Caenorhabditis elegans: one gene and its partner. The protein of the gene in region 1 interacts with the protein of each later gene in a pairwise test. Each region holds a gene or a part of one and is shown on either strand. Other genes may lie near its edges.

What was found. Proteins that work in one complex are often made in the same cells at the same time.
Region 2: the proteins of tag-343 (region 1) and nlp-1 interact in a two-hybrid assay, tested with the Caenorhabditis elegans proteins (one large-scale study listed by BioGRID).

What each region holds. Positions count from the first base shown.
Region 1 is NC_003284.9:16,671,386-16,677,287, reverse strand, and holds the start of tag-343 (RNA polymerase II-associated factor 1 homolog), read left to right. Parts: upstream 1-2,555; coding exon 2,556-2,637; intron 2,638-2,683; coding exon 2,684-2,823; intron 2,824-2,865; coding exon 2,866-2,975; intron 2,976-4,012; coding exon 4,013-4,145; intron 4,146-4,187; coding exon 4,188-4,347; intron 4,348-4,643; coding exon 4,644-4,726; intron 4,727-5,491; coding exon 5,492-5,601; intron 5,602-5,680; coding exon 5,681-5,902.
Region 2 is NC_003284.9:3,725,253-3,729,860, reverse strand, and holds nlp-1 (Neuropeptide-like protein 1), read right to left. Parts: upstream 2,288-4,608; 5' UTR 2,269-2,287; coding exon 2,152-2,268; intron 2,106-2,151; coding exon 1,908-2,105; intron 1,843-1,907; coding exon 1,684-1,842; intron 1,632-1,683; coding exon 1,575-1,631; 3' UTR 1,415-1,574; downstream 1-1,414. Other genes in the region: t-SNARE protein aex-4, read right to left, coding at 297-399, 448-470. UniProt on the Caenorhabditis elegans protein: In AWC olfactory sensory neurons, required for the detection of preferred food sources.

The sequences.
Region 1 (5,902 bases):
ATTTAAAACTACGAGTATGCTGTCTGACACATAACTGTGGCATTCGGATGACAAAAATTCAAAATAATTCATGAACAAATACCATCAAAACGTGAATTCCACAGAGAAGGCAATTAGGGCTCAAATATTTCACATGGCATAGAAATACTTCAGTTCTTCTATACGGTTGACACAACCCAACATTCTAAGATACTTAGATACTTACTTACTTACTTAGAGAGAGAAACGTGTACAATGATAGTAACGTCGTTAAATAATATTTAAATGATATAGCACATAAATTTCAGTGTTTCTACTAAGTGGCACAACTATGCAAAAAATGTTGCCGCGAGTTCATAAACTATTTTTGAGAGTTTTTTATTTAGTATTTATGTAATTTGCGCGTGGATCACGATTTACTACCCTCGTTTCTCATTTCCCTTGATTTTTCTCAAAAACCCTGTCGTGAAAATGTCAAAACCCAGCAGAAAGGTAAAAACGAAAATAGGAAATTGTAAGTTTCGCGAGGTAATTAAAAAAAAAAATTAAAGGACGATCCGTTCTTCAAGTGCTATGCACTGCGGATCTGGGATTCAGGTACACTGCCTGGTGGTGATCCCTCTGGGCTGTAATTTAAGCCACGTCCTAGCCGGGGACTGTGGCCGATAATCCTGTCGTGGATTGCTCCACTTCCCAATAGAGGCTGGGTAAACCTAGGGGGTGAGGCCGGACTTGAACTCGTGACCTCCAGACTGCTAGCGGCCACCACTACCGACTGAGCTATCTGCCCCCTCGCATTTAACTAAAATGCAAATATGCTCACTGGTGTGAGTGTCTAAACAATAAGTTTATTCATAACTGTGAAAAAGATAACCTCCGTGAAAAATTTTCTATATCCTACATACAATAGTTTTTTTTTTAATTTATTATCGTTTTCGAGCTAGTAGTCAATTTTTCAGTTATTTGGCTGAGTGTCCACCATAATATTTTTTCAAAAGTTTTTGAGTTTGTAACTATAATTATTAAACAAGTCTTGCAGAACATTCTTAACAAGCTGTACTTCACACTTTATTGCTTTCACTGTACCGTTTCACCATTCAATTTGGGAAGCGTTCGATCAAAAAGTGGTGACAAGGACACCCATACATGTACACCTTATACACTGCAATGGCGTAATAATTATATGAATCGTGTAGCTGCTGGAGGTTATCGAACAAAAAAAACAGGTTTCAATCCTACTACCAAATATGATATGTTCTCTTCTCCTCTATTATCACTATTATCACCCATCATCATGTATCATTTTTCTCACTTTTACGTCAAGACCATAACCGATTTATGACTTCTCAACGCTGATTTACAGCCAACCTAACGGAAAGTATTCGGCTATAAAATGATCAGGTATGTGTGTACGTGTGTTGACAGGAATGAGTTATCAGTGTGGTGGAATTCGCAGTGAGGAATACAATACAAACATGGTTAAATCGAAAATTTCCTGGAATTTTAGTGCTAGCTGAAGATGTTTTAAGTGCCCTAACATACAGTTTCGCAACAGGTCTTTGATTCTGATCTAGTACCGTTATACTTAAAAACATAAGCGGTAGAATAGGAATAAAATAATTATCATTGGTTTTGATGATAAGAACAGTTTTTGTTTCTTTGCGTGTGCACTTTCACAGCTCGGCAACCCCACATTTGTGACTCAACGTGTTTGTGCAAAATGAAATGTTCGATTTTTTCTACATTAGTTTTTTTTTGAAACTTTAAAATATGTTCTTTCTAACTGACGTTGAGATTAGTTCATCCCCTTTTTAACTGACGACTCAATTTATAAAATAATAACTTGCATCACCATATTATCTCTGCATAATTAAAAATGTTTCTTTTATAATAGTTTTAGTGCAGGTTTTCAGTTCTTTAGAGAATATCATCACAATTTAATTAGGTATCCCAGAATTTGCGTTAGAAAAGGAAATATAATTATTAGGAGAAAAATAGATTTTTCAAAACTTCAAGTAAGGTCGTTTGACGGCGACAATCCTTTTTCTCAATTTTTCAGCAGATTTGTTGCAGATTTTTAGTACTTTCTGAAAATAATTTTAAGATCTCAGCCAGATTTAGTATTATGGCAAATATTATTTTTTGGCGATTTTTTAAAATTTTCTCAAAATTCAAACGTAGAAATTATATTTTTCTCCGATGTTTCAAAAAAGTTTTTTTAAAACAATTTGTTTTCATCTTTTCTCGAATGTTTTTTGTAGTGTTGTTGACAATATATAAGTTATCCGAATGCTCTCTTGTTAAATTAATAAGTGCAGGGTAAAAAACTGCTTATTTCAAGGGTTAAATTTTGTGTTCTGGTTAATAGTATTTTAAACCCTACAATTTCTTTTTGCCCTATTCAAAAACTATTGCAGTTCAAATCGAAACCTTACACTTCATGAAAGTTTAACTAAACTGCGATGACCAAAACAAACATTTTGCATATTATACATTTTGTACGCCGCAACACATCCCAACTCAAATAACTGATCAAAACTTGTAGAGCACTTTCCGATACTCCTCTGCTCGAGGACATGATCTCCCCAGACTCGAAATTTGTGGGTGAAGCTCTCGAACAGAAGGATGTTAGGACTGTATTTGTCTCGGCGAAGGAAGGTTGGAGTCTTAATTATCTTGAGAATTTTACTGTTTTTTTTTTCAGACAACGAAGAACGCGAAAACCGGGTAGTCTTATTGTTAGGACCAACAAGTTCTCAAAAGTCAGAACTTATCGATTTTTTGTGTAATTATTTTTATGGAGTGGATTCAATGGATCAAAGGAGATTTCACATTTCCAATGAAGTATTACAATTGTAATATGAAAAAGTAAGTATTGAATTGCAGAAATTCAACTCGGAAACTCCTACAAAACCTGTACAGTGCTATATTTTTAACGAAACAAAAATGTCGGTTCGTCCTGTAATTCTGGATATGATCGCGTGTGGAGATACATAGTAGGTTTTTTTTTCAAAATTGGGAAAAAATCATAAAAGTTGCAAATTCCAATGAGCATAATAAATTATTCTTAGAATTAATGTTAAAACAAGAAATAGGATATCTACCGACTTTGGGTTTCTGGTACAAATTAAAATTAAATTAAAACTAAATTGGCCAAAACTTTACCATTTTCTTGAAACTTAGAGCAGTGTCAAATGTTCAAACCCAGTTATGTATTTAATGTACTATTGAATGTAGGCTCTTATTGGGAACAAAAGGACCGTCCCTCTAAGTCCCTCATAGCAGTCATAATCAAATGTACAATTTTGCTGTGGCGATGGAGAGGTCCATGTCATTTAACCACTGTCTTCTACCATTAGGCCAACAACAGGTCGTAAAATCTCGACTTGTTATCTGGTCGTAAATCAAAGTAAATGTAAACAGGACTAAAAAGAACTCTTCTTGTTTTATAAGGTGTTCAATAGTTTTTGGGGTTTCTAGGGACCTTACTTTTAGATTTCTATAGGTTTTGAATTCATTATTTCGAAATTATATGATTTAAATTATCGGCAACTCTTCTGTTCAAAATTCTAAAATTGCAAAAATTTTAATTGTTGAAGATTTCATAATAGGAGCATAGCTTACGTTTTGCATTTTCTCAGCCATTTTTTTGTGTGTTTTTTAACACTTTATTGAAAATCTTATACTATTTTGTTTTTTTTTAAATACGTGATAATCATTTTATTCCTTCCAGATAAATGATCCTAGTAGTTTAAATAGCCGTACGACGGGTGTTTCTTTTTACAAATTTAGCCAGAACTTGTAAAATCCTCCTCTGTTAGGAGCTTTTATGATGATAATATCTGTCTACTTTGGTTAATCTACTAAATTAAAAAAAATACATAATGTATTTCAATTGTTTATTGCAATGTATTTCAAAATTTTTTAACCACTAACTTTACGAAAAATGCAGAAAACTCTTAAGACAGTAATTTTTACAGTACAAAAAATATACAACTTGGATTAAAAAAATACAATAATAATTAAATTTCAGTGATGGTTTCGATTCGCCATCTTTAATACATAAATGGCTTCTTAACAATTGGAAGATGAGACTGGACGTTATTGCAATTGTGTTCTCACAGTTGCACAGAATGAGCATGCACGAAGAAGACGAACTGCAACAGGTATCTAGAACTTGACTTCAGATCCTACTTTCACATTTCCAGGTTCTCTCCAATCTTCCAGAACATGTACGCAACAGTATTGTTGTGTTCATCACAGCGTCCGACGGCTCCAGAACTTTCGAGCCTCTTTTACGAAGATTCGGTTTATCAGAGTGTCCCAAGTTCACTATCAACACGTCTTGTACATTTCAAAAACAAATGGGTGAGTGTGATTGAAATTTTTGTATTGATTCAGCGTTTGCATAGCTTTCTCGCGCCGTGTTAAAAGTTGTAAACAGACCGAATAGTTTTTGGCATTGAGTGCTCTCGATAAGAATTATCACTTTCCATCTCTCTCCATTTTTCGCCCTCTTTTCTCGTAAAACGTGACGACCATTTAAATCAAACATTTTCGGGCTGGCGAATCGCTAGAAAAATAAACTGCCAATCCGGCGATATTTGTTTTTTCCTGTACCTACCAGTGTGGGAATTGCAAAGAAAACGTTCTAATAATTTCAGAAGATCGGCTGAATGACGAACATCGGAGGAGATATTGGAAAATGTCTGTAAATCAATTCGATTCTTTCATGGAGAAAGTACAGGTACTTTTCAATGGCACTTTTTTGCCTAAATAGGAGATATTTACAATTTGGACCTGGTATCTTTTGAAGGCTTGAAATTGTTTGATTTCTCAGCCAGCTAATTGTTCAAAACTTTCAACTGATATGTAGTTGATAATTTGTAAACAAAAGTGGAGTATAGAAACGTTTTTGTATTGCCTCAAAATACTCATAATAGCTCCCAAAACCTATCGTGATGAAACATTGCAAAAAAATTCACAACTCTTTTTAACTTAAAGGTGGAATAGCGCCAGTGGGGATTTTGTCTAAATGTACTTAAAATTACCCGAAACAACCGAATATCATAATAATACACTCCAAAAATTTTAGGTTTTTCGTAATTTTCAGTCAAAGTTTTGGCAAGTTGTCAAAATTTTCAAAAATACGAGCTTTTGAGGAAATCCAAAGCAATTCCGCATGTTTCGACACCTCCGATGCTTTCATACAAAAAATTTAAACAAAATTAAAACATAAAAAATGTCGAAAAAAAATTTTTTTTTGGTCGACTTCCAAAAATATGAATGGCAAAAACTGAGTAATTTCCACTCTTTGACAGTACATAAAAAATTTTCAAAAAATGTTTGAAAAGTTTTATCATGATATTTGGTCATTTTGGGACCAAAGGAGTGGTTTTTAACAATTTCCAAACAATATTTACTTTGTGGATAGTGGTACATTTTCAGCCAAGAAGTATTGCAATTTTGGTGTCTAAAAACTACTAAACTTAAGAAAATTTTTAAATTTCAGGAAACCACCCCAATCACAATCTCGGGTCTCCCATTTGTGGATGATGGTATCTATGGAGTTCAGGAGTCTGGACAAAACTCGTCAAGAAGCAGTGTTTACTCCTCTAGCAAGTAGGTTGCAGTTCTTTTTTTTTCATTCCATTACATTTCCGCTTTCATAAACTAACACTCATTCTCACTCTATTATTAGATCCACAGTTATCGAAGTGGAGCAAAGCTCGAGGCAACAACAAGTTGGCCGACCGACGGAATCACCACCTCTACCACCTCCCCCACTTCCACTATCCAATCCACCTGCCAAACCAACACCCCCACCTCCACCACCAAAGCCGACAATTCGTCCGCCACCTATTCCGGCATCTCCGCCTCCAAGACCGCCGGCAAGTGAGCCTGTTGGCATACCGCTGTACAG
Region 2 (4,608 bases), about 13 Mb from region 1:
ACAGTTTTTGTGGCTTCCCTACATTTCTCAGCTGAAATGAAAAAACTTTTTGATAAATGAGAAAATTCCCTAGATTCTATCACTAATTTTGCTTGAAAATGTCCGCGCACCCCTATTTTTAACTAATGTTTCCAAAATTTGTTTCTTTCCTAATCAATTATTTATGGTTTCATCTAAAAACGTCAATGATTTTACTAAAAAAGAAACAATTTCCAAGCTGGCATTTTTGACATCTCAATTATGTATTCAGAAGCGGAAAGAGCATGATGTGATTTTTGTTTTATTACATTACGCACTTGTACGTTCAATTTCGCTATTTCTGCATCCAAATCCACCATTTTCAGTTTAATGCGCTTTTGAACTGTTTCTTCTGTTGGAAGAGCAATTGGCTCTGGAATTCTGCAAAAAGTTGGAGTAATGATTTATTTATTAGTTTAGAGAACTTACGAATCAATGGTTTTTCTAGCCATTTTTGCAATTTTTTGATTTTTGATGAAACTCTCAGAATACGGAATCAGTGTCAAAATCGATAATAAAAAAGAAAACGGTGTTATCACACTTGGCTCTCATGTTTCTTATCAAAAATTCCATTAATGAATTTCAATTGTGTCCTCCCCCTAAAGTGACGCAGAGTTGATCGACATAAACGCAGTTATCAAATTCGGAGGAAACGGAAAATTTCATAACTTAACACACTCTGTCCCTATAATGTTTCACATTCCAGTCGTGACCATATTGACCTACATTTGTGTTTTATCACTATCGTCACTTCTTGACTTTTTGTCAAAGTGCACGTCGGCATATCAGCTGATAACTAATCCTGTTAGGAAGATGCTTTTTTGCTGTGGATATTCTGATTAAAAGTGGACTACGGCATGTGAGAAAATAATATTAAAAAAAATTCCTATATTGACCAAATTAATAAAAATTTTGAAAAATGTTTTTAGTCAAAATTGGTTAAAACTGAATTTGCTAAAATTTTTTAAAGTCTTCGTTCAAAAAATCGAAATTTCGTCCAGTTTTGGGTTCAATTAATGAAGTGTGTAATATTCATACTGAAACATTGCAGGGTTAGAATATTTGGCAGTGATTCAGATTTCTCAAAAAAATGCGCAAATCAGGTCGACCATTTTTTTTACAAGAAAAAAATATTTCCAAAATTAAATTTTGTTGGGATACTTGTTCATTTTTAGCATAATTTGAATGGCTTTAAATTATTTTCTCACAGGTCTAATATTCACCAAGATATCAGACATTAGTCTTATGTTAGAGAACAATGCAAAAAATTGTAGCGGCAGCATGATACCTGAGCCAGTCAGAAGTTTTCGTTATAATCCTAAAATCCAGTTTTGGAGCATCAGTTGCGGAACATTTACTGATAATTGTATTCTTTGGAAAGGTCTATAAGCTTATTGAACGGCAATTTTTGTAACATTTTATTAGCTAAAAGATCTTCGATGTATTTCCCATACAATCAATTTATTGCACAAAAACGATTTTATGGAAAGAGTGTTATCATATTTGGGACTAAGAAGAAGCAATTGGGATGAAAGTAGCTTGATGTTCGCTGGAGTTTAACGACGTCCCAATCCGACAAAGTAGTTCCGAGCGTCCAAGTTGTACCCGACTGTCTGAAAAAAAAATGGAATATTAGGGGAATGTTGATGATCGGATTCTGCGTACACTTCTCTTTCCAAAGCTCATTCGAAAGCTGTTTGGATCCAAGTTGACTCGTTTTCCAAACGACATGCGGAACGCATTGGCATCCATACGTTTTTGCTCAGGGAGTGAAAAGTCATCATTCACGTACTCGACCTGATCATCGGCGGCTTGATGAGCATCCTGGAAAAAGAGCAACTAGACACCAGCACTAATTAGGGTCGCAATGAAAGACGACGACAACGTACCGAGCGTTTTCCAAACGACATGCGAAAAGCGTTGGCGTCCATGCGCTTCATCTCCTCAAATTTGGTGTCGTCGTAGAGCTTGTCGGATGTCGCTTTGTCTTCCTTATTAGCTTGCTCATTCTGCTCGGCTGATCGTTTCCCGAAGGACATTCTGAAAGCGTTTGGATCCATTCGTTTTGCCTCTGCTGGATTGGATACCTGAAGCTAATTTTCATGAAATGTTTCAAAAAAAAGTCAAACTTACGCTACGTTTGCCAAACGACATGCGGAAAGCATTTGCGTCCATTCGTTTTGGTAGGAGATCGGCATGGGAAACAGCAGCTATCACAAGAAGACATGCCAGCACGAATGTGGCTTTCATCGTTGCCTCAAGTTGATGTCTGAAATGTCAGGAAATATATGAAAAGTACAATTTAGGGAAAACATAAAACCATGCGAAATCGTGGAAGGCGGGGCTTATGAGTGTTGAGAAATTGACAATTTTTTGCAATTTTAGAGGAGAAAAAATGGGCTGGACTTTTGAGTGGTTTCTAAGAAATAACCTTTTTTTTTGAAAATATAGGGCCGTTGGGAAATGCAAGACAAAACTGAACAACTGAACTACGGTTTCTTGGTGTTCGTGCATGACGAAAATGGGACAGAGGAAAAAATTTAAACACTTCCGGAAAGAAAAACATTGAACGTAATACGGTAAGAATCAAAAGTCTGAAAGCGTTTTCTTCCGGGAATTGCCAAAGCCAATCAAATGTATACCAAAAGTTATATGTTTTATGGGATGAGATTGGGCGAAAGGTTGAGCTAACAACACTTTCGAGACTTGTGTTGTAATCAAAAACAGGATTAAGGGGTTTTGAAAGGTTGATGTTTGATTTGTTGCACCTTATCCAAAATGCTCTGGGTACGCACAATTCTGCCACACAGGCCACAAAAAATGGAGCTAGAAAGAAATGAATATGTAAACAAAGGGTGGAGCACAATGTTTCAAATGCCGGATTATTCGGGACTCATTGAATTCGAAATCAGAATTTATAAATATGTGTGAAATCATGGAACTTGGAATTTGTAACTAAGGGATATGCTAATATCGCCAAGTCATTGTCTCCGCTTGGTTTTCTAATGATATGAGCGGAAGTGGGAAATGACGTGTAGTGAAAAATTATAGAAATTATCGAGGGAGGTGAAAAAGTGTATTTTTGACATCTCAAATCACGATTTTCATTCAAAAGTGCTCTATTACAATTATGACTCTTAATGATCATGAATAAATGAGTAATACTTAGAATAACATGAGTAACAAAAAACAATTGATCATTCGCTTATTTCGCGCTTTGGGAATACTTGAATATGAGTGAAGAAGATGAAACTAATTGGAATTTTTACATAGGTTGTCACAAAGAAAGTGTGATCTTCCCAAAGACCAAATCCGGTTAATAATTAAGGGTATTTCTTATTTTTCTTCCTGGATCCTTTGAGTAGACAATTCTTGAGAGCGGCATCATTTACCAGTCTAAAATTCCAAAATTGCATGCTTTACTATTTTGAATTCAGATGAATATTGAATGGAGGAAAGTAGCAAGTCAAAATGTGCAACATTCAATTTTTCATGGCTAGGTTAGTACAAAGTATTATAGTTTTCAATTTTTCAAAATTTAAAAATTTCAAATTATTTTTTCGAAAAGTTAAAAAAAAAGATATTTGCCATTTTTTGGAAGTCGCCAAATAAAAATCAAAAAAAATTTCTTTTGAATTTTATGATCTACGTATGTTTCAAGTAATAATATTAAAACATTGTAGGGATTTGAATATGCAACATGGCTATAGTTTTTTTTTTCAAAAAATGGAAAAAAAACTGAGTATTTCCGACTGTCAATAAAAATTTTTCAAAACACTTTTTCTATGAAATTTGGTAATTTTTGCACCATAGTAAAAAATGTAAAACATAGCATTCAAAACCGAGTAATAGATTAATCCGATTACTCAACATAGATTTGAAGAAAAATTGTGGTGGATTCACCAAGAAAGGTGTCACGTGTTTAAGCTATCACATTCAGCAATGAGTCAGTGACCCAAAATTGTAGCAGTAATATAGAAAATGATTGGATATAATACAAACAGGAGGAGAGTAATGTAATTGATTTCCGTTCCCATATTATAGAACAAATCAAACACACCTTCTCCAGGCTAGCAGCAATAGACAACTGATAGAAGAAAACAATCATGGCACAGAGACTGAGATGATGTGAGGAGGAGCATTAAAGTTTTTTGGGAGATTATTCATTATGGCTAATCCAATGAAATGTCCTTTGAGGTGGCAACTTGGCTAATGGATCAAATGACGTGTGAGTCAAACAAAATTGGCTAATAGAGATGAGAATCAGAAATGAAGAATATTAGAGGCTGGCACTTGTGAATAATGTTGGATAAAACAAAGCTGGAATAAAGCTTTGAAGGGACGGGGGGCACACAAAAACTGATGAGTTAATCTTCTCTATTGTGTGTGTTTGATCTCCCGGAGTTTGTGCCACTAGATCAGATAATTGTAATAAATTCAGACAGAAATCGTCATCCTTAAACTAAACGCGCAACAAAATGAAATAGGTTCCAAAAAGTTGCTGTCAAAACCAGCAAGCACTCCATCAGGAAGAACGAAAACCACATTATTAAAGGTGTCAAAGTCCACCTCGTGACTGATAGATCCCTC